Saccharomyces cerevisiae S288C: one gene and its partners. The gene in region 1 interacts genetically with each later gene. Each region holds a gene or a part of one and is shown on either strand. Other genes may lie near its edges.

Region 1 (10,455 bases):
GTAAAAACATACTAAGATCTGAATAACTAAGATCACGGGGGCATACTATCGATTAAAAAGCTCTGATTTTACTATAGATTAAAAAGAAAAATAATGAGCTCAGACAGTTTAACGCCTAAAGACACTATAGTTCCAGAAGAACAAACCAACCAACTGCGGCAACCTGATTTAGATGAGGATAGCATACATTATGATCCAGAAGCTGATGATTTAGAGTCATTAGAGACTACTGCCTCTTACGCGTCAACGTCGGTGTCGGCAAAGGTGTATACCAAGAAGGAAGTAAATAAAGGAACTGACATTGAAAGCCAACCACATTGGGGTGAAAATACCTCGAGCACGCACGACAGTGACAAAGAAGAAGATTCCAATGAAGAAATTGAAAGCTTCCCGGAGGGTGGATTCAAGGCTTGGGTTGTGACATTTGGTTGCTTCTTGGGTCTAATTGCATGCTTTGGTTTATTAAACTCAACGGGGGTCATAGAAAGTCATCTACAGGACAATCAATTATCCAGTGAAAGTGTTTCTACCATTGGTTGGCTGTTTTCTTTGTTTCTTTTTGTTTGCTCTGCCTCATGTATCATTAGTGGTACTTACTTTGATAGAAATGGATTTAGGACAATTATGATTGTGGGCACGGTTTTTCATGTAGCCGGTCTGTTCGCTACCGCCAACTCTACTAAATATTGGCACTTCATACTGTCCTTTGCCATTGTCTGCGGGTTCGGTAATGGTATTGTACTGAGTCCCCTAGTAAGTGTTCCCGCCCACTATTTTTTTAAGAGACGTGGTACTGCATTGGCAATGGCCACTATTGGTGGTAGTGTGGGTGGCGTCGTTTTCCCAATTATGTTGCGTAGTTTCTTCTCTATGAAGTCAGACACTGATCCAACTTATGGATTTGTTTGGGGCATTAGAACTTTAGGATTTTTAGATTTGGCTTTGCTAACTCTGTCAATCATTTTAGTCAAAGAGAGGTTACCACATGTTATCGAAAATTCCAAAGATGGTGAGTCACGTTGGAGATACATACTCAGAGTTTATATTCTGCAATGTTTTGATGCGAAGGCTTTCCTGGATATGAAATATCTTTTTTGTGTCCTGGGAACGGTATTTAGTGAGTTATCCATTAATTCAGCTCTTACTTATTATGGATCATACGCCACCAGCCATGGAATTTCTGCTAATGACGCCTACACCTTGATTATGATTATAAATGTCTGCGGCATACCCGGGAGATGGGTTCCTGGCTATTTGAGCGATAAGTTCGGTAGGTTTAACGTCGCAATTGCAACTCTACTCACTCTATTTATCGTCATGTTTGTTGGTTGGTTACCATTTGGTACCAATTTGACAAATATGTACGTTATTAGTGCCCTATATGGATTTTGTTCTGGAAGCGTTTTCTCCTTACTTCCTGTTTGCTGTGGCCAGATATCTAAAACGGAAGAGTTCGGTAAACGTTACTCTACAATGTACTTCGTTGTCGGTTTCGGTACTTTAGTCGGCATTCCGATAACAGGTGCCATTATCTCTATCAAGACAACGGCCGATTACCAACACTATATTATTTTTTGCGGTTTGGCAACTTTTGTAAGCGCTGTTTGCTACATAATTTCGAGAGCATACTGTGTTGGCTTCAAGTGGGTCAGATTTTAAAAAGTAAGACAGTGCCCTTTATAGATCTTCAAAAAAGTAATGCAATAATATTTTCTTTTAGGAAATGTGTAGATAGACTATTTAATTAAAATTTCCTTATGTTTTTTTTTTTTTTTTTATTTTTCCGAATTAAAGTCACTATTTTTGTACAACTTCAACTTCAGCCATTCAGAAATCTTGCAATCTTGCATTAACGTAGAGGCGTATGAATTCTCGTAATAATTAATTAGTTTTCCTGAATTGATTAAGTCAAAGTGCCCGTCAGTCTTCTCTTTCAGCATCTCAACACGTAAATATATCAGAGGAAGCGTGATGTTATTGATAAGATTTAAGGTATCTTTTGTTAACATATGAGGGGAACACATAATGCATACTGTTTTGTTGCGTTGACTATGTGATACTAGTGAGGTGAATGTTCCTACTAACTCACGGAATTCTCTAGGAGATAATTTTGATTTAGTGAAAGCCTTACATTGGACTAGTACTTTCAATGGTTCAAAAGTATGGTCGATTATCCTATACTTTAAAGGTTTCAATACGAAGCCATTTTGCGAGTTCGTTCTTTTTATGTTACTAGCCATTTCCAAATTGGGCATTAACGATGAAATTTTCCAATAAATATCATCTACTGGCCAGCTTCCCTTTATGTCTACGCCACCATCATGGGCGCCACCGGTTTTTCTCAACTTTGTCATTCGTAGTTTCTCAGATAACTCCCTCATCACCGTATATTCATAAAGATTTCCTTGAAACACCGTAGAATGGGCGACAGCAGCATTTTGTTTCACATATGCTTGAATTGCAGGATTATTGAGCCATCTTCGTCCCAAATAGTTTTTTATCATGTTTTATCATGTTTTACCGTTCTTTACCGTGTTTTATATAGGAAGAAGCTTTAGAAATTTGCTGCAGTATTTCGCTTCCTGGTCGTTAATTTCTATGTATCGATCAACCATGTTGTTTTGCTTTTCAGTTGGCCTCGATAAATAATTTGAAAAAAAAAAAAAAAAAAAAAAAACTAGCAAACCAATGAAGCGGCTTGGCTTACAGGTACATTTTACCTTAGCGCTAAATGATATTGTAAATGTGACTTGCATCTTCTGAAGGAGCACTGTAATGAGTACTGAAAAACTGGAAGCTTCGGAGGAACCACAGGCTCCCTTGGCCAATACATCTGAGACTAACTCAATAAAGGGAGATACAGAAAATATTGTAACCGTGTTTGACCTGGCAAATGAAATAGAAAAATCACTAAAGGATGTTCAGAGGCAAATGAAGGAAAATGATGATGAGTTTTCACGCAGTATACAAGCAATTGAAGACAAGCTTAACAAAATGAGTCGGTGAGAGCAGGTGAGTAGTAACATGGAAACTTCTAATGCTTTTATTCATAAAAAAGAAAACGCGTGCTATCGCGTAACTAGGTTGCAATTAACTACAGATCGTGCCAAATACGTGCTTTTTTATATGGTTTAGAAATATTAATCAACTGAAACTTAATAATATATTCGCATGTTTTTGGAGTCTCTGGGATAGCACTTCACCTATCCTTGGAAACTTGAAATGGAGAAGTTTTAACTAAATGACTTTTTTGGCAATTGCTCTCTTATAATTCAGTACACTGTTGTTAATGTAAGTTTGTAGATAAATACAATATGACAAGTATCAAAGCAGGCTTTAGTTTTCAGCAGTTCAATTATCTTAGAATGGATATGAATTAGTTAAAGCGGCTCGACCCAGTTAGACTTAATTTGTCCTCTTCATTCACCATTTTTGCAGCGATATCACATTTCATTGAAGGGAAAAAGGTGACTGAAATATGATTACCTGTCATTTATCATTATCAAACTTGAAGATAGTGGTCAAGAAGTGGCTACGGTTCATTATATAATGCGGTCTATAAGGCTCGTTAGTTTAATTGTATTCAATGAAAAAGTAATATAAAAAATTATATCTCTCACGTCACTTATTTTAATGCACAATACATGATTCATGCTTCTTGATCAATTTTGGTTCTTTTATCAACATGATCGTTTGTATCTTTTTGATTTGTCACCATCGTCGTCGGGAGATTTGGAACCGTTGAAGCTCTAGTGCTTTCATTTTGGGATAAAGGAGTATCCTCTCTAGTCGCTGAAGTTCTACTCCTTTTCTTCTTATTTGCGTCAGGTTGCTCATACTCTCTTACAATTAAAGTTAATAGCGTATGGACTCTTTTTGATAGCTCATGCACCGTTCTTGTCTTTATAAACCAATCAAAAGTGAACAAATCACTCATCATGATTTCTTGCTTTAATTTTTCATAGAGCTTGTCAGCACGAAGTCCGTACTTGTTAACAGCTAATAATAAAAATTTATCTTCTAAGGTATTGTAAGTTCTTCTAGCATTATTAGGTGGATACTGTATTATCAGCTCATGTAATGGATGTTTACACTGTTCGATTTTCTGCCTCAATAGAGTTTCCTGGAATTTCAGTTTTTCATTTTTTTTTTCACCAAGTTCTACATTATGTAAATACTTCTCCCACCCATTGATTTCCTTTAGTCTTTCCCAGAATATTTTTGCATACACTTCAACCTCTTCTGGTGTTTTGGAATCAATAGATTTCTTAATGTTTTCCATATCATCTCTACCGTATTTGGCGCAGGCGTTGATAAACGCCATAAAGTCCCTCTTATTCCAGTTAGTAAAGGCTTTTGATATCAATTCTTGCTTTCGTAATTCATCTTCTTGGGTAAAATCCGGTGCTGAATTAATCTTCTCTTGCTCCTCCTCAATCCTTCTTTTAAGTTCCTCATGGCCTTTATGACCTTCTGTATTAGCGGCATTTTTGTATTCTCCTTCTTCTTCTTCAGCATCGCTTCCTTCATTACGTATATCTCCCGTAATATCATAAGAAGTAACCTTATAGTTGACCTTTTTCTTGAAGTAAAGCTGTTCCTTTTCTTGTAAGGCATCCAACTCCTTGGGGAAGAACTGGAAATCTTGACCGTGTATAACCTTTGGAGCGCGGGGTGCTTTTGGCTGCGGAGTTTGCTTGCTTGCTGATTTAGAGCCACCACCAATAATTTCCTTATAATAATCGTCAACTGAATAAGTGGTTTGCTCTCTTCTTCTTTCTCTTCGGGAAGGATTAATCCATTCAACTACTTTGTCGTTGGATTTTTTTTGAAAGCTTTTACCATTCCATTCGTAAGCAGATTGGTTCTCGATCCCATTGAACTTTTGTAAGTCGTCAAGTCCTAAACTTTGGTATTTGGCATTTAGTTCTTGTGTCTTCTGTTCCCCCTTTTTCAAAATATCATCGATATCAGCATCAACAGTGACTTTACTTGCTTTCTTTTCAAACATATTTTTAGCGCCAAATTGAATCATATCCAACAGATCATCCTTTGAGTTACCAAGAGATGCAGTTTTCTTGCCCGTGCCCTGTTGGATAACCAACTGGTCTAGTCTCAGCTTTTGTGCGGCACGCTCAATGACTTTCTCTTCAATAGCATTTTCTGTGACAAATCTATAAACATGAACTTGTTTCTTTTGACCAATTCTATGCGCTCTATCCATTGCTTGTAGATCAGCTTGAGGGTTCCAATCAGAATCAAAAAGAATAACAGTGTCGGCTGTGACAAGGTTAATACCTAAACCACCGGCACGTGTTGTTAGCAAAAAAACGAACTTTTCAGAATTAGGTTTATTATACTCATCGATAGCTTCTATACGTTCTTCATGGCTAGTAGAACCGTCGATTCTGCAATATTCAAAATCTCTAAAATAGCAATAATCTTCTAAGATATCCAATAGTCTCGACATTTGACTGAAAATCAATACTCTAGATCCCTTTTCCTTCAGTCTTTTCAGTAACTTATCTAATATAATCATTTTCCCGGAATTGAAAATCAAATGTTCATCGGTAGTGTATGGAGGTCCAGGTTCTGCGCCTTCAAAAAGATATGGATGATTACAGCATTTCCTTAATTGCATAACAATATTCAGTAACCTCGTTTTGCCTTCTCTTTTTCCAACAGCACCGTTAACAGCGTCTATATCCTTCTCTAATAATGATTTATACCATTGTATTTGCATGTCTGTCATCCCCACGTAAACATTCGTTTCGATTTTAGGTAGCAAAGATTTTTCGACATCCGCTTTGACTCTTCTCAGTAAAAAGGGGTTTAGTACTGAGTGTAGCTGTTGGATTACAATTTCTTGATCTTGTTCCGAATTGTTTTGTTCGAACCATTCATCAAAAAGTTCAGAATCTCCAAATATATCAGGTAATAAGAAATTTAGCAGGGCCCATAATTCGTGTAGATTGTTTTGTAGAGGCGTGCCCGTAATCAATAATCTATTCTTAGAGTAAAATAATCTAATTATTTGAGATAACGCGCTTTGTTCATTTTTGATCCTGTGAGCCTCATCAATAACAATATATTGCCAAGCTAATCTTTTCAAAGCATTCTTTTCTCTAATGACCATTTCATAAGATGTAATCAATACATCAAATCTAGCTTCTAATATTATATTCCGTACTATATCAGCTCTTGTGTCTTTATCACCATGTAACACAAGGACATTGACGTTTGGAGTCCATTTAAGAAACTCTCGTCTCCAATTATCTAGTGTTGACTTCGGTACTATTATTAGAAAGGGTCCCTCGATTTGTTTGACGTATCTCAAATAACCTAGGAATGAAATTGTTTGTAAGGTTTTACCCAGCCCCATTTCATCGGCCAAGATACCAGATAGTTTGTTTTCGTGCAACGATATTAACCAGTTTAAGCCTTGAACTTGATAGTCTCTTAATTTTCCTGACTTGACGAAGGAGGGAGATTCTGAGACGAATATGTCTTCCTGATATGTATCTACAATCTCTTCTTCCTCATCAGCCATTAATTCAGCATCTTCCTCCTTTTCTGTTTTTCTATGGTGACGTGATGACGAACTGACGGTGCTGTGTGATTTGGAAAGTTTGTTTGCATCAGAATCTAACTGTTTTAAGAGTTTTTGAATATTTTTATCATGTTTTGCCTTAATTCCAATAAAATGACGGAAAAGGTCTGTGACGCCTAATAAATATTTGAATCTTTTGTACGTATCGGACTTGTCCTTTTGCTTGGCGTATTTTGGATCTACATCAAGTACGAATTTTTTCTTTCTTTGAGCCCAATATTCTGGTGGTCTATCTTCTACTGTATATATTTCTTTATCTGATAGCTCTTCACTTTGTCCGATATTATCATCATCACTACTGCCATTTGACTTTGAGTCGAGAGTATCGACTAAAACTTCTGAAGGTGACTCGCTTTTGCTATTCTTGGTATCACTTCGTTGCTCCTCTTGCTGGGTCGTCATGATCTGATTGTAAGTTTTCCTTTTGTTACGACTTAAACCAACAAGACGGGTATTATTGGAAAGTAAATAAAACAAACCACAAAGAAAGAAAACCGTTTGCACAAACTCCTTGAGTTATGCAAATATACTTATCAAAATTTAACTGAAGCTGAAAATTTTTGAGTCTGCTTTATTTGATTTTTTTTTTAGGATGGCAGGATGAAATTAGAGCCATTGTACGTACGTTACGTTTTTTTGTTCATTTAATTACAAGAAGCGCCCGTTAATTATGACAACTGCGAGTAGATACTAAGCAACGACGAGTAGCGCAAAATACCATGAACTGAATTGAATCGTATTTAGATGTACGTATGTGTTACGTAATGTATAAATTTTGTTTTTAGAACAACACTCTTTCCTTGGCCAACTTAGTAACATTTATACTCTGCAATCTCGATTTATCGGTACTGTATGTTACTTTTAGTGAGATTGAACTTTTTGCCTGAGATTGTAATTGGTATTTTTCTATATTATCGAAGAATTTGTCAAAAAGAATAGCTGTGTCTAAGGGACCACCTTTTGCCTCTGGGTGAAATTGGGTAGAAAATATGGGTCTTTGAAGGTGTATCATGCCTTCGTTTGATTTGTCGTTTAAATTAACAAAATAAGGTTTCCATTGGTCCTTTGGTAGGGTCTCAGGATCAACTGCATAGCCATGATTTTGAGATGTAATGTGGCACTGGCCGGTAGTCAAATCCATGGCAGGGATGTTGTGAGCCCTATTACCATATTTCAATTTGTGAGTAGAGGCACCGGAGGCCAGAGCCAAGAGTTGATGGCCTAGACAAATCCCAAAAATAGGGATACAGTCATAAACAGGGTTATTTAGTAATTCCCTGACGTTGGAAATTGTAGCTTGGCATAGTTCTGGGTTGCCTGGTCCATTGGATAAGAAAATACCGTCGAATTCAGAAGCAACATCTTGAATTCTGTAATCATAGGGGAAAACAGTTACATTGGCACCTCTTTTGACTAGGCATCTGATAATGTTTTCTTTAACACCACAGTCAATAAGAGCCACATTTGCCTTAGCCTTCCCAGGTAAGGCAGAGACGTGGAAAGGCTTTTTTGTGGTGACTTGAGCAACCAAGTTAGTTTTCATGGGATTCACGTAGGGGACAGGGTCATGATCAGCCAACGTAATACGGCCCAAAGAAGAACCTTGTTCCCTCAAGTATTGCACTAGTTCACGGGTGTCTACGCCAGTAATAGCAGCAACACCTTCTCTCTGACACCATTGTGCCAGAGATTCAACAGCGGTCCAATGCGAATATTGATAAGCATATTCAGCGACAACGATGCCGACCACATGTATATGCGGAGATTCAAAATACTTCAGTAAATTGTATTCATCGCGGGCTTCGCCGGATGGGACACCGTAGTTACCAATCAAGGGTTGCGTGAAGACTAATATCTGACCACGGTAGGAAGGATCAGTCATGGACTCTGGGTAACCAACCAGAGAAGTAGTGAAAACTGTTTCACCAGCAACAGATTTGTTTGCACCAAAAGATATACCTTCAAAGGAAGGACCATTTTGGATACAGAAAGTAGCTTTTGTTGCAGCGGAGGACATTTGAAATATTTTTAGGAGTGGTTTGTGATAGAATTTCTGATTATTAAGCAATGAAATTAGTGGGAGCTAGTTTTCCAGATGTGGTCAGATATGTAGTCTTGGCAGGTGTATTGAGAGTTCGATAAGCTAAACATATAATGTTTTTTTTATTTCAAATCTGCAAAAAGGGTATGTAGAAGAGTCGATTACCTTGTATTCTTTGCAGTATTTAAACAATTAGATGTTCGAGTGTATCTATGTGTTATAGTTCTGAAGAAAAAAAAAAAAAAAAAAAAGAAAAAGAAACGACGAGTCAAGAAAAGAAAAGAAAAAGGAGGGGCATGAAAAAAGAAATTGACCGAATAATCTAATGAACGTTGGATAGTTAAGTGTCTTACGAGAGAGCCTTATATATCATGTCATCGCCTTTTTTTTCCGCGAGAGGTGATAAGTGAAATCGCAACTATTTACTCATCATGAGGTAATGCGATGCGATGATGAGTCAAACACCCTTCCACGGGAAGCGCCAGCCGGCGCCCTCGGTAAAGCCTGCACTTAACGGCCCCTCGCTGTTTCTTGTACTTAGCGTCACGCGCTATGGAAATATGCGGTGCACAGGTGTTTTTATAGGGGGGTGATGGATTACATCATACACGACGGCCGGGAACACAGCTGAAAATAACTGTGAATGCGGCAGTGGCACCCACTACGAGAAGCAGACACCACAGTCCACGCTTACGTAGAAGCTGCCGAGTAAATGGGTGCTCTATGCGGGTAAGACGGCGCCTACCGCCGAACACCGCAAGTATCATTGGCACGTGATCGGTATCACTAGAAGCATCTCCTTCGTCATTGCCAGCGTTTTTGTGTCTGTGGAGAAGTCTCTGTGTGACGCCAAACCAGGAATACACAATGTCCACTTGATACATGCCACACACAATGCAGTAGCATCCCAGTGTAAATGGCACGACCGTAACGACACGGATTGCGCGACTATACGCCAGGAAGATTAGAACATATCCGATCCAAAAGCCGATGCCTAGCCAGAGCAAACCAAAGCCAATACGACTGATTGACGTGTGATTGGAGAATGGCGAGCGAGAAATGTGCGTCTGGCCTCGAGAGCGATTGCTTTTTTCGTTGGTGACGCCCACTGAGTGGAATCTCCAATCAGATATTTCATCGTGGATGTTGTGTAGTGCGACGCGGCTTAGAAATTTTGGGAAACAATCCATTTCTAGGAATTGGTAAGTTAGGTTTTTTAGGTCGTCAAAAATCTCAATGTCGTACTTTCGCTCGATTTGTACGCTTTCTATTATGCGGTTCCGCGTTTCCATGGGGATGTTGCTCAGGTACCGTTCGCTTTGTTCGGGCGATACTAAATAGGTGTTGCAGAGACCAACTGCGCTGTGCAGCAGTTGTTTTGTAGTTATCTGCGGTTTTCCGTCTTGTTGGGAGCGCCTTTTCATTATCTCGTCGACGATCAGCGCTACGTCTTCGTTTCTCAGGGCTTCTTGACCGATACCCGATTGGTGCTTCCAATCACCCAGCAATTCGTTTAATTTTGGTGAAAAGGGCACGTCTGGGCCGCTATTTTCTAAGAGTTTATCAGGTGCTTCCGGGTCTAGGTGCCCTTCTTCTATCAGTGCGTTCAGCAAGTCAAATGTAGCCGTAGATGTACTTCCATTCTGCTGTTGTTCTTGTGGAAAGTTGATTAATGATTTTCTTACCAACTCTATGTAGTTTTTGCAAAGTCGTGTATGTGTCATAAGGTCAACCCAAAAGTCCAGATAGTTGATGGCATATGGGAATTGTGAAAGAAATGTATAAAAAGTCCAGAGATCAACTG
Region 2 (7,736 bases), on another chromosome or scaffold:
AAACTTATACCTCGACCCCACTTCAAGATTTATAATAAGCACAAGTGGCAACAGAGGCTGGCAGGGGAATTCTACGGACACGACCCTTATTTACGATATAGACTTAGAATAGTGAGTTGTAATAATAATCATAACCATAATCATAATCATAATTACTCCGCGCGCCGTTTATTTTTTTTTTTTTTTTTTCAGGGCCACTGATCCCTTCATTTTGTGTCAGTAATTCAGGGTCCGGGCAGACAAAGGCATATTATACTATCAAAATTTGAATGAAAAGTAAAATGAATGGAGTTAATAATACGCTTCATATTAACAAAAGCACATAGACGCACGATACAAATACTAGTTCAAATTGTATTCCTAAGCCTTTCTTTCTTTTTTTGAAGGCAAGAACTCGCATTAGTTATGGAAGAAAACCAATTAACGTGCTTAATAGGTATGGCAAAGAAGTTTAAGAAAACAGACATTCGAACAAAAATTTACTAACATATAAATGTAAATTTAAATTTCCTTTTTTTTACAGTTGGAGAAACACCAGCAGCACAATTTCTAGGATGGAGACTAAGTTTGAGCAACTCTTTTATAATACTGGTCTCGCAATATGTGTCTAGTGACGAGTTAGTTGCCTGGAAATCGACAAAACTAGGCGCCAATTTCTACACGCCAAACATTCTCACTAAGGATATTAAAGAGCTGCACCACAAATTAAAACATAACGGTGCAAATACGTATTCAATTGACATTGTGTTAGTGTCTGCAATTTCCTTACAGTCTTTCGAAACAACTTGTCGATTGTTGTCAGATTACACGAACGACAATACGACTGTGCTTATTAGCACTGATTTTGGTTGCGAACTGGAGCCCATAGCCATAAGTTATTTTGGAGGGAAGTGCAAGTGTGTTATTTCCATTTCGTGTGAGGTTGAATGCAGACAGTTATCGCTTGGATCATATGCATTGGTCAACGACGATCAATGTGTAATAACTTTGGGATTAACTTATTGTGATGCTAATTTTGAAGCAAGTCCAACCATTCTGGAAAACACGAAAGCAGCTTCGTTAGAATTGCAAGGGATTAAGGGTTCAAATGTTCGCAGGTTCCTTCTTGGATTGACCGTTGCGAAATGGATGAAATCTAAATTAATTTTGGACCCAAAACAAATGGCATTGAAAATGTGGGAATTGCTTATTCCTAAAATCTCACTTAACATCCTTTCTATCATCTATGAACAATTTGATTATGAGAAAATGTTAGAAAACAAATCCACAGAAATTATTTTTAAAGATCTGGTGAAAGAGTTACTTGGAATTTGCTTTGCACAATGTGGAAGCAAAATTGCAAGGTTTTTGCTAGTAAAATCACAAGGTGAAGAAGAGATTAATTTTGGGAAAATCGTAGAATATTGCAAAGGTAAAAAACTGCAACTTATCAACTCTACGGCAAACGAACATCCGGAATATTTATCCTTACCGTTTGAGCCTTATTGTTTCTACCACCGATTTGAATATCCTGCTCAAATTCTTTTGCATCAGCCCATCATTTTGGCCAAAAAGTATGGTGTTTCGTGTTCAAATTTAAATTTCCTATATGGATTCTATACGAGGTTACTGACACTAAGTGGGCTATCAATAAATGGTGGAAGGTGTGAGCATGCCTTGTCGATGTTGGACAGCAGGATTGGTGGTGGTATTAACGTTGCTTCAGGAATTAATAGCGGCCAAGATTTTACCGATGGTGATAACGAGGATCAAGATAAAGGCAAAAACAGAGTGGACAAAAATGTAAAGGAAGGTTCTTTCATTAGTTTAACACAACGATTCACGATGACAAGTCCACTGGGTGTCAATGATCCAGCTTTACCAGCGGACTTAGAAAAGTTGTATTTAGGTGCAGAATACATTAGCAATTGCGACGCAAATACATCTGGTGGTCAAAAACGAGTAAAATCTCCAACTAAAGCAGATACAGGCTACGATGATAAACACTTGCCTGATGATACGATACATACATTTGAAGATGAATATTTGGCCGATGAAGACGACTTTTCTTGCCTTGGAATTGACAAAAGAAGCTCAACAAAGCCCACAAAGCCTCTAGAAAAATTTGGAGTGGTTGCTGTGCCACACTTCATCAGGAGGTTTTCTATTAAAAGGTCGAGTAAGGATAAATCAAATGATATGAAAAGACCATATACTACAAGCAGCTTGGAGTTGCAATTAAGGTCAAATCACTTTATGTTCGCCAAAGAATACCAAGACTTACATAGACAATTATATTACGAAGTTAAACCAAGGACGCAATCAGAATTGGACGCAAGACGTCGAAACTATTCTGAATTAGAATCTCAGATGTGGAAAATTAAACATCGGTTCAATATTCATAGAGGAGCACTGCCTCGTCCACGAACGAATCCGTATGAGCTATTACTGGACCACATTGATGTTTTGAACCGTGGCAACACTGGGGATATTTTGAGATTTACCACTAGTAGATACGGTGGTGTAGATACGTATGATTCCATCTTGAGGGACCAATCCACGATCATGGAACTTTTAGATAAACGGTGTGCCTATTCACCTCCAGTACTGTTCGATAATGAGGCTAAAGAACGTGATCATGATCGCGATTGTTATCAAGATTACAATCACGACCACCGGAGTCATTAATATTAAAAAAAAAAAATGTGATTGTTAATAAGGGGTGGGATGCGCGAAATTCTATGCCTACAGTAGAAAGCGGTTGTTGCACAAATGATTAAATCTTTATCTCCAACTCACAATACTATCGCGATAGATGCATAATATGTGCAGCTTCTAAACAGCACGGAGTGATGATAAATACGCATATATGTATATATATATGTATGTGCATATGCACGTCCTTTTAAAACTCAAAATACAACATTCTTAGTAAATCCTTTTGTTGACACACGTCGGAACAACTCAGGACGGAGTTAATGGATATGCTTCATAATAAATGTAGTGATGCTATCAAAAGCACCTCCAATAGCAATTTGAGTAATGAGGTAGACAAACAAAAATTGCAATACGATGACCTCGGGAACACCGGATTTTCTGAACTATTTGAGATGGAATCTCAAGATAATAATGATAGCATAGAGGATTTCTTGTTCTTTAATATAAATTTAACCCAGGAGGTTGAGTTCGAGAACCAAAGACAATATGAGCACACGAAAAAGACAAAGAAGCATAACCCATTCTATGTACCGTCAGAGGTAGTGCGAGAGATGGTCAAGAAACACGCATTGAATGGCAGAATATAGTTAAGCCCGATAACACATTCTATTTTTCATGTTTTAATAACGTTTCATATATGAATTTTTCTCAAATATACGATATATACCTAAATGAATATGCATATGGAAGTGAAGTTGGGGATTTTGCAAACTTGTCTTATGTTAATCTTGGCTTAAAGAATGTTTTCCAAAAGGCCGTTCTTATTAATTTTTCTTCTCTTGGTTCTGTTAAATGCTAGTGAATTCGCATTGACGTTCGTTGGTATGGCTACTGCTCCGAATGCGATTGGATGGCTTGCCTTCCTGCCACGATTACTGAACAAATCGAGTTCTACATTTGCATCCAACAGTAGTTCTTTCAATATAAACCACTTTCTTTCTTTCTGTGAAAGTTTTTGGTACTCTTCAAGCAAGTTCTCTTGGATTTTGGTCAGTATATCAATTTTTTCATCATCTGATAAGTCAGGGTCCTCAGTTTCTTGGTCCTGCTCCGCTGCATTTAATGTTACAATTTGGTCATTGACAGCTTGTAAAAAGTTGTCATTCATAGCGTAAAGATTGTCCTTGTACAACCTTGTCTTGAGGGTGCTTATATCTATCTCATCTTGGTTAGCGTTCGTTATTACATTCCCTGGAGAATTCTTTATCATTTCATAGTTCATTTTCGATATGTCATCCACGGCAACAATGTGTCTTTTGAATGTCGTGGTGTTTGTGTGAGTGGAAGCAGTTGAGGCGGCATTTGCATCGGTAGCTGTAGATGGGGTCGAAGAACCTTGTTGATTCAAGCCATCTGCGTTATGAAATTTTTTGTGATGTGGGTCTTTCTCCAAGAAATCTGGAGTTTTGACACTTTTGTAATGTTGAGTAGCTGCATGAGCAAACTGCACCTGTTTATTGGTTGCCAAGAGGTCTTCGAACTTCATTGTTATGATTCCATTGAAGACAGCTATGTCAGTTAACAACGCAATTCCCCCTTTCACACGAAAACCTTTTCTCTAAACATCCTTCTCTTTTATCATAATTCGTGGTTAGTGCCGGCCTAAAAATTTTTCAGCATATTAAAACAGAAGATAGAAAAGAAATAGAAAATGCGATGAGACGTCAAGTTTTCCAATTAAAGAGGACGTGAGAAAGGAGCTGTTAAACATGGATCAAAGTGTGGAAGACTTATTTGGAGCACTAAGAGATGCTAGTGCCAGTCTAGAAGTAAAAAATTCAGCGAAGGAACAAGTTTCTCTTCAACAAGAGGATGTTTTGCAGATAGGCAATAATGATGATGAAGTAGAAATTGAAAGTAAATTTCAAGAGATCGAAACTAATCTTAAGAAGCTTCCTAAGTTAGAAACCGGATTTGATGCTTTAGCAAACAAGAAGAAGAAGAAGAACGTCTTGCCTAGTGTGGAGACAGAAGATAAAAGAAAACCCAACAAGAGCGACAAAAACGATAATGACTGGTTTACCTTACCAAAGCCAGATGATAACATGCGTCGTGAAGTTCAACGAGATTTATTGCTGATTAAACATAGAGCTGCTCTTGATCCAAAGAGACATTATAAGAAGCAACGTTGGGAGGTGCCAGAGAGGTTTGCTATTGGTACCATAATTGAAGACAAGAGTGAGTTTTATAGTAGTCGTATGAACAGGAAGGAAAGAAAGTCGACTATTTTGGAAACACTCATGGGTGATGAAGCTTCTAATAAGTATTTCAAGCGTAAATACAACGAAATTCAGGAGAAATCTACGAGCGGTAGGAAGGCACATTACAAGAAAATGAAAGAGATGAGAAAGAAGCGGAGGTGAGATAATGGAATTTTCTTCGCCACGTATTCCATATAGTATATTGTAAAGTGGTTTAGATTACATAGAAATATTCAAAAGAATTAATAATTTGCATATCGTTTAAAAAAAAAAAACCTTTGAAAACATAGTAAAGAATTATCGGCTTTTGTACAGGATACGAATTAGTAGGTATAAAAGGAACAACCGCAGCAAATAAGTACGAGAAACGAGCCACTCACGTGAAAACATATAGAGAAAAGCGACCGGAGATAATGAAGCTAGGACATCGTGAGCAACAATTCTACTTGTGGTACTTCATCGTTCACATTCCCATCACCATATTCATCGACTCATCAGTGGTTATTCCCGCTAAATGGCAACTAGGGATTGCGCAAAAGGTTGTTAGTGATCACATCGCAAAGCAACACGATTTCCTGCTATCAGAGAAACCAGAATGGCTATACTGGTTTGTAGTCCTTGAGCTAGTTCTGCAACTACCCCTTTTCGTCTATTTCGTCAATAAATTCTGGAATTCAAGCGAATTACAAGTTAATACAAATAGCAGATTGAAAAAGTGGTTGCGTATCTATGGCTGGAATGCCTCTCTAACTACCTTGATATGTATCGTTGTTATTTTCAAGCGTGGTTACATTCCTTACGATGTGCTAAAAACAAGCTTGTCCATGACCCAGAAGTGTCAGTTAGCCTCGGTGTACCTACCTACATTCCTAATTCCTTTGCGTTTGTGTTTTGTGTAGCCTGTGTCGGCTATATATACAGTATTAGTGACTATATAGTTAATTAGTGACATATGCCACTAGTTTTATCTAATTATTGTGCTGCGTTTTGCAGTATTCTTTTTTATTTGAAACGCGTCACAAAAGTTTCGCGTCCTTAGGGAAATGGCTGGTTTTTGTTTTAAAATAGTATATTATCCTTGATGTAATTTAGCAAGAGTGTATTGTAAGGGAACAGTCTGTTACTGCCATTCCCTCATCGCTAGATCCCCCTTCCCTCGCTTATTCCGTTACTTTCGCTTTACTGAGCCATAACCAAGCGCACGCATACATATATATATATATATATATTGTGCTGCACGTATATATAAATAAATCACGCGTACAAGGATACGTTAGCCAAATTCTTTGGATATAACAAAACAGCTACAACTCATGGTTAATAATATCATGCACGAGTACGTACCACCCAGTCAGCGGCTATTCCATAGCAGGCATAGAATAACAAGAAACGATTTGAAAGAAGAGGCCCTACATTCCGGGACCACAGATTGGACAACAATTCTGGACACAACAATAGATAAAGATACTAATCTCATTAGTTATGCTGTCCCCATAATAGACAACTTTGCCATTCCTCGAGCAAACTCTCAGGGGAGTCCTGTGGCCCCTTCGCCGAATCACAGATCAACGATGTACTCTTCTTCATCTTCTTCTGCGTCTTCTGTGTTTTCTGATGGTTTGTTTACTCCAAACAACAACAGGAACTCATCAGGATCATCTTCATTAGTCATTAGACCACAAAAAAATTTGAGTGTAGATTCTTTGATTCAGGAAAATAAAAGGAAAATCAATAGTGAAAAAGAATCGTTATCATTAATTGCCAATAATAACGATGAAACCTTGTGCACTCATACTGATCCATCCATACAAAACCTCATTAAATCGGAAACAAAGAGGAACATCTTAAATTTAAAGTTTCAAAATAGAAACTTATTTCGAAGAGAACTAAAATTGGAAAAGTTTTGGAGCAATTTGAGAAGTTGTCATACATCTGGCGATGAGACGGACCTGCTGTTGGTGATAAGTAAGCATAACTTATATTGGTTTGGGATACCGAACGATTTTCGTCTTCCAATATACAAGAGATGTTTATATCACTATAGCGAACTAGACGAAGCCGGATTTTTCAGTCAGTATGCGAACAACTCATTGTATCTAGCAATAAGGAAATGTTGTAACAACGAAGAGCAGGAAACTCTATCCCGGTCTATTTTCATCAATTTGACGAAAAACGTTACCTGGTTGAATAGTCGTTTCGATGACAATAAGGACAACAAGAATTCTTACACGGTTACTGAGGGGAAGTTCTATCAGGACTTTCCTAACTTATACTACCATTTAAAGGACAAGTTGAAATTAAATGTGATAATGGATTTCATCAAGCCTGTAATAAGAAATTTTATGACCAACGCATTGAATAAGCACAAATTAGATGGTATTGGTCTAGAACTTTTAGATATTCTAATAGTGACTACCTATTATGGTCCGAATAAAATCAATGCTTTCTTAATGGATACATTTATCTTAAACTTGCTAAAACAGTGCCATTACAAGTTTTTTGTCAGTAATATCTCTGAGCTGGTTATTCAAATTTCTAAAATCGATTGTGACTTAGTCATTCTGCTAGAAGATTTAAGGTCACGGATTGATTTAGATTGAGCAAGGGGTAAGAGAGAAGGCAGGTATTTCTCCTGGAAGAATATATATATATATATATGTATAACGAAAGCAAAATAAATACTCGGGTGAACCCGTCATGGCGAATAGTGCAAATTTAATTAATAATAAAAATGAAATATCAGAACTAAACATTAATTTAACTTATCTTCAATACTATAGATAGTCAGCCTTCCCGCTAAAGAATTTAATTATTGAAACCACTTACCTAATAAAAAAA
Region 3 (7,353 bases), on another chromosome or scaffold:
AAAACAGCTGGTGTCATTCTTCCAAATTCCTATATGCGCCCAATATCTTATCGACATCTTTCTTGATGTTTTGAAAATCAAACCACTACCATACAAGCCAAGGGGCAGACATTCTCATTCTTTCAAACCAATCCCATCTCAGTACTACAAAGAGTGTATGTCTGTGAATCAACGGCTAGCCTTAATTGTGCTAATTCTGGAGAACTCGGAATTTGTACCCCACCTCCTTGAACTTTTGAACGAAGAAGATAGAGATGATCACTTGGTAGCAAAAGGCAGATATCTTCTTACCGAATATTTTAATTTAAGAATGAATTTAGTCGATAAAAAGTATACTTCAGTATCAAAACCAATTTACAAGGAGAACTTCACTTACGTCAATGAAACATTCCAGTTCAAGAAGATCGCTTATAAAATGAATAGAAACAGGAATACAATTGGCATGTCGGGCATTGATTATGCTCAAAATATAAAATCATTTTCCAAAAATATTAAAGAGAATACTCTTCTCCGCGAAGTAGATGATTTCCGATTTAGAAGAATGGTTTATGACTCTAAAGTTTTGCAAACGAAGGATTTTACGCGATGGAATTGGAACATAATTAACGAATTACTTGAAGGACCATTACTAAATAAAAAGCAACTAGAAGAATTAGTTAAATCAACCAAATTCATCAGAAGACTTTTGGTGTTTTACAGACCACTCAGATTGAGATTTTCCAACGTCAATAAAGGCGCAAAATTATCTCAAAAGTATGTACAAGTTGGATGCCAGTTTTTCAAAACACTAACGGCGACTCCAGAAGGAATGAAAATCCTTATGGATGATACAAAAATTATACCGCAACTGGCGTCTTTAATGTTTAGAGCAATGGAGGGAAATATATCAGGCAACATCTTCAACAAGAATAAACTACGAGAAAAAATAATATTTGGATACTTCAAATTCATCGGAATATTGACGCAGTCAAAGAATGGGGTTCATATCCTAACGAGGTGGAATTTTTTTACCGTAATCTATAAGATGTTTCAATTTGAATCGAAACTGGGGCTTGAGTTTCTATTATTAACAATACCAGAATTAGATTTGAAATATTCATCACATTGCCGCGTCATTATCGGCAAGGCCCTTGTAGTGGCCAATGAGAAAGTTAGGATTGAGGCTACAAAGCATATAGGCGATAAACTAAAAGAACTGTTATCCACGAAAGAAAGTGATCTTAAGTTAAAAGCGAATAAAGTGAAACTGCAGCAATTCAAAATGGAAATGTTAACAAGGCAACTATACGACCTGAGCCCCAGCGTAGTCGCCGTAGCAGACCAAGCTTTATATGAATGTATTGTCGCGGGCAATGGCTCTGAAGAGCTGGGCACCTCATTTAGGATGTTTTTAAACCAAATGGTATTCATTAGGTCTCCAATACTTTTCGAGTTATTAAGCCGCCCATACGGGTTCCAGTTGTTGAACGAAATCAATTTTGTGAAGGAGGAAAGGGATTCGTGGTTATCTAAAAAAAACATTGAGTATGTTCATATTGTGGAGGAATTCCTGAAGAAAAATGAATCAATTAATGCAAAATCCCTCACATTTCAACAAAAGAGTCGCCTGCCATTGCATTTTTATGAAAGTCTAACGAAAACAGAAGACGGAATATTACTATTAAGCCAAACAGGAGATTTGGTTACTTTCATGAACGTTATAAAAAAATACGTCAACGGAAACAATATGGCCACAGTAGAAAATGCCAAAGAAATTCTCGACTTAAAAGCAGCATTATGGTGTGTTGGGTTTATCGGATCCACAGAATTGGGGATAGGTCTACTAGATAACTACTCATTGGTGGAAGATATTATCGAGGTGGCCTACAATGCCAGCGTAACCAGCGTTAGGTTTACAGCATTTTATGTTCTGGGATTAATCAGCATGACCCGCGAGGGTTGCGAAATTCTAGACGAGATGGGATGGAACTGTTGTGTCAGTGTACAAGATGAGCCTATCGGGATCGCACTACCAAATAGGCTCGATAGATTTCTATCGTATAACGAACACAAATGGTCCGCATTTGGCGAGTATTCTGATGAGATGATTGTTTTTAATAAAAGCGATGGCGACTTGATAGAAAAATGCTTACCCATCGAATTTGATTTGGACAAACTACTCAAAGAGAAAGATACCGCAGAGAATCCATTAAATGAAAAAATCATTACTAATAAATACGACAACGATATCACAAGTCAAACTATCACTGTTTCAGGTGAAAATAGTAGTCTTTTCGCAAACGAAGGCCTTTCTTCTCCCTATGTTACACAATACCGCAATGACGATGACTCCATCGAGAGCAAGGTACTACATATAGTAAGTCAGCTAGGCAATCATATCCTTTCAAATCACGCAGTGAAGGAGATTACAGAAATAAACAATAAATACGGTCCAAGGCTTTTTGAAAACGAGAAAATGTTCTTCAAAGTATTTAATATGATGTCGAAGTATCGGTTTAAGCCACATGTTAGGAAGTTTCTTTGCGGACTATTTATTAACAATAGAGCGCTTGAAAATGTCATCAGGCACGACAACAAAAGGGACAAAAGGCCGGCTAATTTTACACGTTAGAGCAAAAAAGGGCCGCATGTATAAATGTATATAGTCACAATATTCCATAGACCCAGGCACTTCCCTACACCACAGCATACAAAACCGTTATGGTGTGTGCGTATCATTATATAATAATGGGGTTTCCTTGTACAGAGTATAAGCATCCATTAGCTCCTCGGGAACCTCAATATCTTCATCGTCCTCCAACTTTTCTGTAATCAGTGATATCTGATCATTGTACCACTTCAATTCGGGTACTTTCTCTACTGTTGCTTGAGATATTAAGCGTGGGAGTTCCGTTTCAGCAGAACCAGTATCTGCATCATCAATACTGTTCAGTACCGTTATCACGCTCGATACTTTTCTCAATAATGTAGTGTATTCCCTTTTTAGAGTCCCATCCTGTTTGATAAGCTCATCATTTCTTGCTGATATCTTCCGTATTTCTTTGTCTATAACGCTCTCTGGATCTTTACTAGGCATTTTTTTCTTGTTTTATAATCAGTCAAGTATTGGTTTCCCACAGCCATTCAACTCAGGTTCATCATCTTTTTCGCTTCCAAAAATGCAGTTGATTTCACACAATTTTTCATGAACCAGGGTCCCGCACTCCGGGTAAAGGACCATCACGCCACATCACGTGCACATTACTAGTAAAAGCCACAGGAAATATTTCACGTGACTTACAAACAGAGTCGTACGTCAGGACCGGAGTCAGGTGAAAAAATGTGGGCCGGTAAAGGGAAAAAACCAGAAACGGGACTACTATCGAACTCGTTTAGTCGCGAACGTGCAAAAGGCCAATATTTTTCGCTAGAGTCATCGCAGTCATGGCAGCTCTTTCGCTCTATCTCCCGGTCGCAAAACTGTGGTAGTCATAGCTCGTTCTGCTCAATTGAGAACTGTGAATGTGAATATGGAACAAATGCGATAGATGCACTAATTTAAGGGAAGCTAGCTAGTTTTCCCAACTGCGAAAGAAAAAAAGGAAAGAAAAAAAAATTCTATATAAGTGATAGATATTTCCATCTTTACTAGCATTAGTTTCTCTTTTACGTATTCAATATTTTTGTTAAACTCTTCCTTTATCATAAAAAAGCAAGCATCTAAGAGCATTGACAACACTCTAAGAAACAAAATACCAATATAATTTCAAAGTACATATCAAAAATGGTTCAATCTGCTGTCTTAGGGTTCCCAAGAATCGGTCCAAACAGAGAATTAAAGAAGGCCACTGAAGGTTACTGGAACGGTAAAATCACTGTCGATGAATTATTCAAGGTCGGTAAGGATTTGAGAACTCAAAACTGGAAGTTGCAAAAGGAGGCTGGTGTTGATATCATCCCATCCAATGACTTCTCCTTTTACGACCAAGTTTTGGATTTGTCTTTGTTGTTCAATGTCATTCCAGACCGTTACACTAAGTACGATCTATCTCCAATCGACACTTTGTTTGCTATGGGTAGAGGTTTACAAAGAAAGGCCACTGAAACTGAAAAGGCTGTCGACGTCACTGCTTTGGAAATGGTTAAATGGTTCGACTCTAACTACCATTACGTTAGACCAACTTTCTCCAAGACCACTCAATTTAAGTTGAACGGCCAAAAGCCAGTTGACGAATTTTTGGAAGCCAAGGAGTTAGGTATTCATACTAGACCTGTCTTGTTGGGTCCAGTTTCTTACTTATTCTTGGGTAAGGCTGACAAGGATTCTCTAGATTTGGAACCATTGTCCCTATTGGAACAATTGTTGCCTCTATACACTGAAATCCTATCTAAATTGGCTTCTGCTGGTGCCACTGAAGTTCAAATTGACGAACCTGTCTTAGTTTTGGACTTGCCTGCCAACGCCCAAGCCGCCATTAAGAAGGCTTACACTTACTTCGGTGAACAAAGCAATCTACCAAAGATTACTTTGGCTACTTACTTCGGTACCGTTGTCCCTAACTTAGACGCCATCAAGGGCTTGCCAGTTGCTGCCTTACACGTTGACTTTGTTAGAGCTCCAGAACAATTTGATGAAGTCGTTGCCGCCATTGGTAACAAACAAACCTTGTCCGTTGGTATTGTTGATGGTAGAAACATTTGGAAGAATGATTTCAAGAAGTCTTCCGCTATCGTTAACAAGGCTATTGAAAAGTTGGGTGCTGACAGAGTCGTTGTTGCCACTTCTTCTTCTCTATTGCACACACCAGTTGATTTGAACAACGAAACCAAGTTGGACGCTGAAATCAAGGGCTTTTTCTCTTTCGCCACTCAAAAATTGGATGAAGTTGTTGTGATCACCAAGAACGTTTCCGGTCAAGACGTTGCTGCTGCCCTAGAAGCTAACGCTAAATCTGTTGAATCCAGAGGTAAATCCAAGTTTATCCACGATGCTGCCGTTAAGGCCAGAGTTGCCTCTATCGACGAAAAAATGTCTACTAGAGCAGCTCCATTTGAACAAAGATTGCCTGAACAACAAAAAGTCTTCAACTTGCCATTGTTCCCAACAACAACTATTGGTTCCTTCCCTCAAACCAAGGACATCAGAATTAACAGAAACAAATTCAACAAGGGCACCATCTCTGCTGAAGAATATGAAAAATTCATCAATTCTGAAATTGAAAAGGTCATCAGATTCCAAGAAGAAATTGGTTTGGATGTCTTAGTCCACGGTGAACCAGAAAGAAACGATATGGTTCAATACTTCGGTGAACAAATCAACGGTTATGCTTTCACTGTTAACGGTTGGGTTCAATCTTACGGTTCCAGATATGTCAGACCACCAATTATTGTTGGTGACTTGTCCAGACCAAAGGCTATGTCCGTCAAGGAATCTGTTTACGCTCAATCCATCACTTCTAAGCCAGTAAAGGGTATGTTGACTGGTCCAATTACCTGTTTGAGATGGTCTTTCCCAAGAGACGATGTCGACCAAAAAACTCAAGCTATGCAATTAGCTTTGGCTTTGAGAGATGAAGTCAATGATTTGGAAGCTGCCGGTATCAAGGTTATCCAAGTTGATGAACCAGCTTTAAGAGAAGGTTTACCATTGAGAGAAGGTACTGAGAGATCTGCTTACTACACCTGGGCTGCCGAAGCTTTCAGAGTTGCTACTTCTGGTGTTGCTAACAAGACTCAAATACACTCTCATTTCTGTTACTCTGACTTGGATCCAAACCATATCAAGGCTTTGGATGCTGATGTTGTTTCCATCGAATTCTCTAAGAAGGACGATGCTAACTACATTGCTGAATTCAAAAACTATCCAAACCACATTGGTCTAGGTTTATTCGATATTCATTCTCCAAGAATTCCATCAAAGGATGAATTTATCGCCAAGATTTCAACCATCTTGAAGAGCTACCCAGCTGAAAAGTTCTGGGTTAACCCAGATTGTGGTTTGAAGACTAGAGGCTGGGAAGAAACTAGATTGTCTTTGACTCATATGGTCGAAGCCGCCAAGTACTTCCGTGAACAATACAAGAATTAAGGTTTTAAAAAGGAAGCAAAGTAATGATATTTTCTGAACTTTTTGTTTTTTATTCTGGGATTCAACATCGGTGATTTAATTTTTGTGTTCACATTTAAAAGTTTATTTGGGTAATTTTTTGATATCAATTTTATTACAAAGCCATAACTCTTGCATTTTTTTTATTATATTTTTATATACACGTACATTCTGTATTATTTATAACGCATTCAACATTCGTTTTCTAAAATTTCCTATATTTTTTGAACAAAAATTTTTTGGTTGTAAGTCGGACCAAATGTATATGTCGAAAGAATAATACTTTTCAGGATCCTGCTATACATCATTATATCATATTATTCGAAAACTATAAAAATGTCGTCTAAGGGGAAAAAAACAGAGAATGCCCTTTTTAAGCTGATCCTACGATATCGGCCCACAATTCTTCTGCTTGCACAATAGTACTGTGATTGGCCATCATTTTATTCATGGTTTCGACATATTCATCGTACTCATCTGAATCGTAAACAATACCACCGCCAGCTTGCAAGTAAGCAATGCCATCTTTATAGACCATAGTCCTTAAAGCGATACAATTGTCCATTGTTTTACCGTCGTATGACCAATGACCTACGGCGCCTGCATAAACCCCACGCCTTTCTCCTTCTAGTTCGGCAATCAATTCCATGGCTCTAACCTTTGGAGCACCACTGACAGTACCTGCAGGGAAAATCGATCTGAATGCATCAAATCTTGTCTTTTCTGGGCGGAGAACACCGCTGACTTGAGAAACCAGATGTTGGACATGAGAAAATTTTTGAATAGTTAACAGTTTATCGACACTTGTTGTTAATGGGTCACAAATTCTGTTAATATCGTTTCTTGCTAAATCTACCAGCATAACATGTTCTGCACGGTCTTTTAACGAGCCACGTAATTGGTCCGCTAAAGCATCATCCTCTTCAGTAGTAGCCCCACGTTTGACAGTACCAGCAATTGGATGGGTAATGACTCTATTTTTGGAATCCGATTTGCACAACAATTCTGGAGATGCACCAATGATTTGGAAATCCAAACAATCAATATAAAACAGGTAAGGAGATGGGTTCACTGTACGTAAATGTCTGTAAATATTGAAAGGATGTAACGAAGTTGGCCTTGCCACTCTTTGCGATGGCACACCTTGAATAATATCACCTTTCTTAATATGCTTCTTCAAAGTGGAGACGTGATTTTCGTAACCTTCCTTGCCCACATTCGATTCAAAAGTTTGATTCAATTTAATAGGAGGTTGTTCTGGATATGGT
Region 4 (6,793 bases), on another chromosome or scaffold:
TTACGTTACCGCCATTGAAGATGGAGGATGAAGCACAATAAGAATAAGAAAAAAGAAAATCAGCAAGAATGACGCGAAAATATATTATCAGTGTTAAAAAGCTATTGTCAAAGTTTGTTTCCACCTATAAAGGATTCGGACGAAGAAATTCATGTTGTTGTTGTTATAGGATATCATCATATATATTTTCGATCACTCGCCAAGAGAATGTATAATAAGGAAAAAGATACCACGTTCTTCTGAACATGTTCAATATCCTTTCTCCTACTTTGCTCAGTACTTGAGCCCCATGCGTTTACATGATTTCAAAAGATATGGAGCTGAAGCCTTTTGTCTTGGCCGAGGATATGGCACCTTTTATATGACCGTATGGAAGACGTAGAGTGGATGAAAATTTTGTGAAAAAAAAAAGCTTATAGGAACAAAAACATCCTTACATCTTCGGGTATTTCTTCTAGGGTTGAAGTATAATAATTAACTATACTATTGTTCGGAGACAGTTCTGATGCCTAGTAAAACGCTTGCAGCTCTAAAAAAATTTGTCTTATTTTTTTCTTCTTCAATGAGCTGTTACCATTGCTGTAAGAGATGCTCGAAAGGTAGTACCTTCAGTGAATTATCTGACGTACATCACGTGAACTGTTTTGCGTAGTAAATTGTTCAACGATAATATATCGTTGTTAGTGATCAAAAAGTAACTATGCAAACTGCAAATGTCAAAAAGCCACAGTTTCTAAAAGAAAAGCAATGAATGAAGAAGGTTTGGGGTTGTAAATGTTAATGCAGCGACGTCTGTTTTTTTGTTATGACAGGAAGTCAGGAGGTAGTCACAGTCTCGTATTAAGCAAAAGTGGTCTGTTTAGGTGGCATAATAGCCTTGTTGCAGCACTACTTGCTACCGAGGCGCAGCCTTACAACTAAAATGTCCAGACATGATCTTAAGCGGAAGGGAGGGGTTTTTGCTTCCGTTTTTTTGACATTAAAAGTTTTCTTAATGCCGCGCGTTTGAAAGGAAACTGATCTGAAAGTGATTTATGATGCCAAAAAAAAAAAAAAATCTTTTGAAGTACAATGTATGTATGCATGAGTTTATAAAAAATGATGTAAAGTGCGGAATAGTAGTACTGCTAATGAGAAAAACACGGGTATACCGTCAATTATTGTCCCTTTTTCAAATGTGTTCTATAGTGTTGCAAGCAATTATCATGTCGACTGAATCGCTGCGTGCATCCCTTATACGGACAACAATGATTTTTTTCGCCCGTATGAATTCTATTATGCCTTGCTAAATGACCCGATGTAGTGAATCCTCTTGCGCAAATTTTGCAAATGTATTTGCGCCTTTGTTCAAGGTCTTCCTCATCTGATAACGTATTTCTTGGATCTGTTCTTTGCTTCCGCGTTTTCAGAGAGTATCTACTATTTGCCATCTTATTATATGCATCATTAGAAACTATTCCGTTCTCAGGCTGTTGTATTATTGATGAATTACAAGTTAGTTGTGATAGCGAGCTTTTTTCGGATGAATCTGAATTATATTGTACCGATGAATTGTCAAAAGAGACGCTTCTTGTTTGTAAATTAGGCGTTATTAAGTATTTTGGCTCCCACTTTTCAGAGCCATTTTCTGATTTGGTTTGGTATCGGAAATCAAAAGCAGTCTTATTTAATTTGTGTTTTAGTTCATTCTCTACCACATGAGAATTAGTTAGAACTGGTAGTAGCGTCTGATATTTTCTTTCCGGGCTTATTTCAACGTTTTCTTCATCTTGCATTCCATCAAATGCGGAGATTCCCGGCAGTGCGGGCATAGTAGAAACATTGAGGTTACTATAGTTATATGGGTAAAACATTGCCTGAAAGTTTGCGAAGGGTAGTAATATGCTGGTCGAGAGGAACAATCCAAGAAAGGTGAATGGTAGAAAAAGGCGCCGTAATGGTAGGAATTACAGTACAATAATACTTTGCAGAATCGTATACGATATGATTTTTACTTTCAAAAGCTGCAGAATTCCCTTATAGCATCAAAAAACTGTAAACGAGGTGGAGTAATATAATTTCTTTTAGTTAAGAGATGGGAACCAAATTTTTTTTAATTTGGGTTTGGAAAGTTCTCTTCCTTATATATGAATAACGGAAAAGGAGCCTGCAGCCAGACTGTAGAAAGATGACACTGCCAAGAGAATAATTAAAAGAAAAAACACCCCAAACACCCTGACCGGCGGCGAAGCCCCTCTGCGCGCTCAACGCGTTTCGTTTCACGCTTAAGGGTCCTCAAGAGGCCATAGTCTTTTACCGATAAGAAAAATCTAGACCCAATGAATTTTTCCCTTCTTTTCCGGTGCGGCCTTTTCACTGCTAAACAGTAAAAAGCATTTCTTGGCTTTCCCTGAGGGTGTTGACCGCAACCAAGCCAATACTTCATTTTGCTTTTTCCTCTTTTAGAAAACAGAGTTTTCCCTGTCTCAAACGTTTCAAAGACAAATATGCGGAAAATCAACTTATAAGTAGAAAAATACTAGCGATTTTTCTAGTTAGAATATTTAGGGGAACTATGCGAAGACAAACGGTGAAGTCAAAAGAAACACACTGCCTCGATTAGAAAGGCTTATCTGCCACAGTTTAATTTTTTTTTAATTTTATTTCTTTTTTTTTTATTTAACTAGAATCTGGCTAAAAATAAGCAACGGTCCGTGTAGATTACTGTTTCGAACGAGGAACAACTGAAGGAAAAGTTTTTTATTTTCCGCGAAGTTCGTATATTTTAGTTTTCTTTTACTCCAAGGGTTCGTGACGTCGAATTCCTATCAGCTTTTTTTTGCGCTTGGCGTTCTAGGTCCCTGTGCCCGTCTGAAACTATTCGTACATAGCATTACTAGAGTACATAATATCGTCTACCATACATACGACGGGTAGCCAGATTTTGTGCCGGATTGTCGGGGAAAAGACGGCAAATGAGCTCATACGTAATGGTGCGATTTTGATTCTTAGCTTTCTATTTCTGGAGAAAAGTACTCCAAGGTGGGGAAGGGGGGAGGCTGGGACTAGTTGTTATATGATGTAGCCTAAATGTAACGAGGCGTGGCTCTTTCATCTTATCTCAATGAATAAGTGTAAATTGCCTCGCCTGGTTTAATCTTTTCTCCACATGCAGTAATAGGTATAAAAGGAGTTGAAATTAAAAATAATAATAAATAATGATATAAAAATTATAAGTTTCTCCTTTCGGAACTAAAAAATAATATTAATAATAATATATAAATATTATATCTTTTTTATAATATAACATAGATACGAGTTTTTATGTTCCTTTGGCAATAGCTTTTCGTGACTTGTTTTAAATACAAGGCATATAGGCGCAGCTTCACCAAGATATTCTGGCTTAAACCAGCACTATGTATATTTTGGTGTTTGATACCGATATCGGCAGCTCGAAGCGTTTTTATGAACTGTAAAAATATGTCCTACATAGTTGTTTGGTAATTTTTTGGTTTTTTAAGATTGTTTTATGAATAGGTGTTTTACCAGAAGGCTATCGCCAGGTAACTCTTTTAACTAAATCGAAAAGATTTATTTGACGTGTCATATTGTAAAAACTAAATGGAAGACAGAAACTAACTTTGTCGACACCTATTTTAAACAAGTATCAAACGCGGGCTATAATTTTTATGAGAGCAATCAATGCAATGGAGTCTATTTCCGGTTAAATGGCACGATTGTGCGTAAAAACACGAGAAAGTGGAAGCATCTTTTTCTTAATGACGGATAATTACCCGAAACAGTGCAACTGCAAGTGCATACTCTTGAAGGACTTACATATTGAGAGGGAACACATTACTACCTTTCAAGAACACTCGCATTTACGGCGTACATATGGTTCCGCGGTAGACCCTAGGTTGAATTGAAAACCATGTTTTGAAGGAAAGCAAAGGCAGAATGAGAACATGGAGATGTAAATATTTTCCCAGTTAGGCATGACCCAAAATCGCAATCCAGATGCAATTTATTATGACACGTAGACCTTTCCGTATCTAACGTAATAAACGATATCTATTTTCGAGGCGCTCGACATCTCGTATCTGGGACAGAAAGTGAGGTAGATTATTCAAGAATACCTATTAAGAAAGGTAGAAGGTATTGCACCGATTCCTAGTATCAATTCTTTTCAAAACCACTTATTTTGCAAAACATGCGTCTAACCTGCCATTTCAGCAACGTAAATAATAATTACTTCCATATATATTCTTCTCCCCCAGTAGCAATTTTGACATGACAAATTTCAGCGATAGTTGCTTCGGCATTCGAAAATCGTAGAAGTATGTCTTAATGTAGAAGGTTGAGAACAACCGGATCTTGCGGTCATTTTTCTTTTCGAGGAAAGTGCAAGTCTGCCACTTTCCAGAAGGCATAGCCTTGCCCTTTTGTTGATATTTCTCCCCACCGTAATTGTTGCATTCGCGATCTTTTCAACAATACATTTTATCATCAAGCCCGCAAATCCTCTGGAGTTTGTCCTCTCGTTCACTGTTGGGAAAAACAATACGCCTAATTCGTGATTAAGATTCTTCAAACCATTTCCTGCGGAGTTTTTACTGTGTGTTGAACGGTTCACAGCGTAAAAAAAAGTTACTATAGGCACGGTATTTTAATTTCAATTGTTTAGAAAGTGCCTTCACACCATTAGCCCCTGGGATTACCGTCATAGGCACTTTCTGCTGAGCTCCTGCGAGATTTCTGCGCTGAAAGAGTAAAAGAAATCTTTCACAGCGGCTCCGCGGGCCCTTCTACTTTTAAACGAGTCGCAGGAACAGAAGCCAAATTTCAAAGAACGCTACGCTTTCGCCTTTTCTGGTTCTCCCACCAATAACGCTCCAGCTTGAACAAAGCATAAGACTGCAACCAAAGCGCTGACGGACGATCCGAAGATAAAGCTTGCTTTGCCCATTGTTCTCGTTTCGAAAGGCTATATAAGGACACGGATTTTCCTTTTTTTTTCCACCTATTGTCTTTCTTTGTTAAGCTTTTATTCTCCGGGTTTTCTTTTTTTGAGCATATCAAAAGCTTTCTTTTCGCAAATCAAACATAGCAAACCGAACTCTTCGAACACAATTAAATACACATAAAGATGCCTGCCCCTCAAGATCCAAGGAATCTTCCAATTAGACAACAAATGGAAGCTCTTATCCGTCGCAAACAAGCTGAAATCACGCAAGGTTTGGAATCCATCGATACTGTTAAGTTCCACGCTGATACTTGGACCCGTGGTAACGATGGTGGTGGTGGTACCTCTATGGTTATCCAAGACGGTACAACTTTCGAAAAAGGTGGTGTTAATGTCTCCGTTGTTTATGGTCAATTGAGCCCAGCGGCCGTTTCAGCCATGAAAGCTGATCATAAGAATCTGCGTCTACCAGAAGATCCAAAGACTGGTTTGCCAGTTACCGACGGTGTCAAGTTCTTCGCTTGTGGTTTAAGTATGGTCATTCATCCCGTTAACCCACACGCTCCAACCACGCACTTAAACTACCGTTACTTCGAAACTTGGAACCAAGATGGGACCCCACAAACTTGGTGGTTTGGTGGTGGTGCTGATTTGACACCTTCTTACTTATACGAAGAAGACGGTCAATTATTCCACCAACTGCACAAGGATGCCTTGGACAAGCACGACACTGCTTTGTACCCACGTTTCAAGAAATGGTGTGATGAGTACTTCTACATTACCCACCGTAAGGAAACACGTGGTATTGGTGGTATATTCTTTGACGATTATGATGAACGTGACCCACAAGAAATATTGAAGATGGTTGAAGACTGTTTCGATGCTTTCTTGCCATCCTACTTGACTATCGTCAAGAGAAGAAAAGATATGCCATATACAAAGGAAGAACAACAATGGCAGGCCATTAGACGTGGTAGATACGTTGAATTCAACTTAATCTACGATAGAGGTACCCAATTCGGTTTGAGAACCCCAGGCTCTAGAGTTGAGTCAATTTTGATGAGTTTGCCTGAACATGCTTCATGGTTATACAACCACCACCCTGCTCCTGGTTCCAGAGAAGCTAAATTACTAGAAGTTACCACCAAACCAAGAGAGTGGGTTAAATAATTCAAGGTTCTTTAGCAGACCGATTTTATGATCTCAATGACAATGATGATTTAATTATTTCGACCACTTATTTATACATTTTTTTATCTATTTATTATACCTCCTTTACATAATTCTTCAAATTCAATTGATACAGGATCTCTATTCTTAAAAATATTAATTATTGCGTCCTATTTATGATGCAAGTTCACAGTACGTGCAGGATCAAAAATTATATCAGTATCTATTGCTCTAAAAATATGGCAGCAGCCTTCATTCTCAATATGCGATCATGCCTTCTAATCAAATTTTAAGATGTTTTTATTACTCTTTTTATTCTTAGAAAATTCATCTTATATTCAAGGACTTCTTAATTTTCCTTCCATCTATGACCACAGTTTACACACTTATAAAAGGTAGTCATCGGCTCATCAGCTGACCTAATTTGTAGTTGGAAAAAGTAAGCACTCTCACCACCACAAGTATCATAATTGGGACATTGGGTTTTGGTTTGATCCACATTGTCCCAACCACCACCAAGAACATCATCAACTTCCTTTCTTGGAAGTTTCTTCCTATCATAGATTTCTATACCCTCTATAGGAAACTCATATGGACATGAACGGCATGCTAATGTATATACACCACTATCGCCACTCGTTATCAGTAGCATATTGTTACACGAAGGACAAAACGAAAGCA

What was found.
Region 2: mutations in ISW2 (region 1) and IES3 together harm fitness more than expected from each alone (negative genetic interaction), as found in Saccharomyces cerevisiae (4 studies listed by BioGRID, with this or other methods).
Region 3: mutations in ISW2 (region 1) and IES5 together harm fitness more than expected from each alone (negative genetic interaction), as found in Saccharomyces cerevisiae (5 studies listed by BioGRID, with this or other methods).
Region 4: mutations in ISW2 (region 1) and NRG1 together harm fitness more than expected from each alone (negative genetic interaction), as found in Saccharomyces cerevisiae (3 studies listed by BioGRID).

Annotation. Positions count from the first base shown.
Region 1 is NC_001147.6:881,071-891,525, reverse strand, and holds ISW2 (DNA translocase), read right to left. Parts: upstream 7,013-10,455; coding exon 3,650-7,012; downstream 1-3,649. Other genes in the region: MCH5 (riboflavin transporter), read left to right, coding at 94-1,659; RRG7 (Rrg7p), read right to left, coding at 1,776-2,504; BIL1 (Bil1p), read left to right, coding at 2,776-3,006; carbamoyl-phosphate synthase (glutamine-hydrolyzing) CPA1, read right to left, coding at 7,392-8,627; YOR302W (uncharacterized protein), read right to left, coding at 8,684-8,761; RAX1 (Rax1p), read right to left, coding at 9,254-10,455. UniProt on the Saccharomyces cerevisiae protein: Catalytic component of the ISW2 complex, which acts in remodeling the chromatin by catalyzing an ATP-dependent alteration in the structure of nucleosomal DNA.
Region 2 is NC_001144.5:243,648-251,383, reverse strand, and holds IES3 (Ies3p), read right to left. Parts: upstream 4,184-7,736; coding exon 3,431-4,183; downstream 1-3,430. Other genes in the region: SAGA complex subunit SPT8, read left to right, coding at 1-112; OSW2 (Osw2p), read left to right, coding at 406-436, 524-2,667; NRS1 (Nrs1p), read left to right, coding at 2,958-3,284; FCF2 (Fcf2p), read left to right, coding at 4,407-5,060; EMA19 (Ema19p), read left to right, coding at 5,312-5,797; MLO50 (Mlo50p), read left to right, coding at 6,212-7,498. UniProt on the Saccharomyces cerevisiae protein: Probably involved in transcription regulation via its interaction with the INO80 complex, a chromatin-remodeling complex.
Region 3 is NC_001137.3:338,578-345,930, reverse strand, and holds IES5 (Ies5p), read right to left. Parts: upstream 3,077-7,353; coding exon 2,699-3,076; downstream 1-2,698. Other genes in the region: TORC2 complex subunit TSC11, read left to right, coding at 1-2,611; MET6 (5-methyltetrahydropteroyltriglutamate-homocysteine S-methyltransferase), read left to right, coding at 3,764-6,067; anthranilate synthase TRP2, read right to left, coding at 6,459-7,353.
Region 4 is NC_001136.10:541,517-548,309, forward strand, and holds NRG1 (transcriptional regulator NRG1), read right to left. Parts: upstream 1,854-6,793; coding exon 1,158-1,853; downstream 1-1,157. Other genes in the region: HEM13 (coproporphyrinogen oxidase), read left to right, coding at 5,126-6,112; DNA-directed RNA polymerase III core subunit RPC11, read right to left, coding at 6,462-6,793. UniProt on the Saccharomyces cerevisiae protein: Transcriptional repressor involved in regulation of glucose repression. Binds to UAS-1 in the STA1 promoter.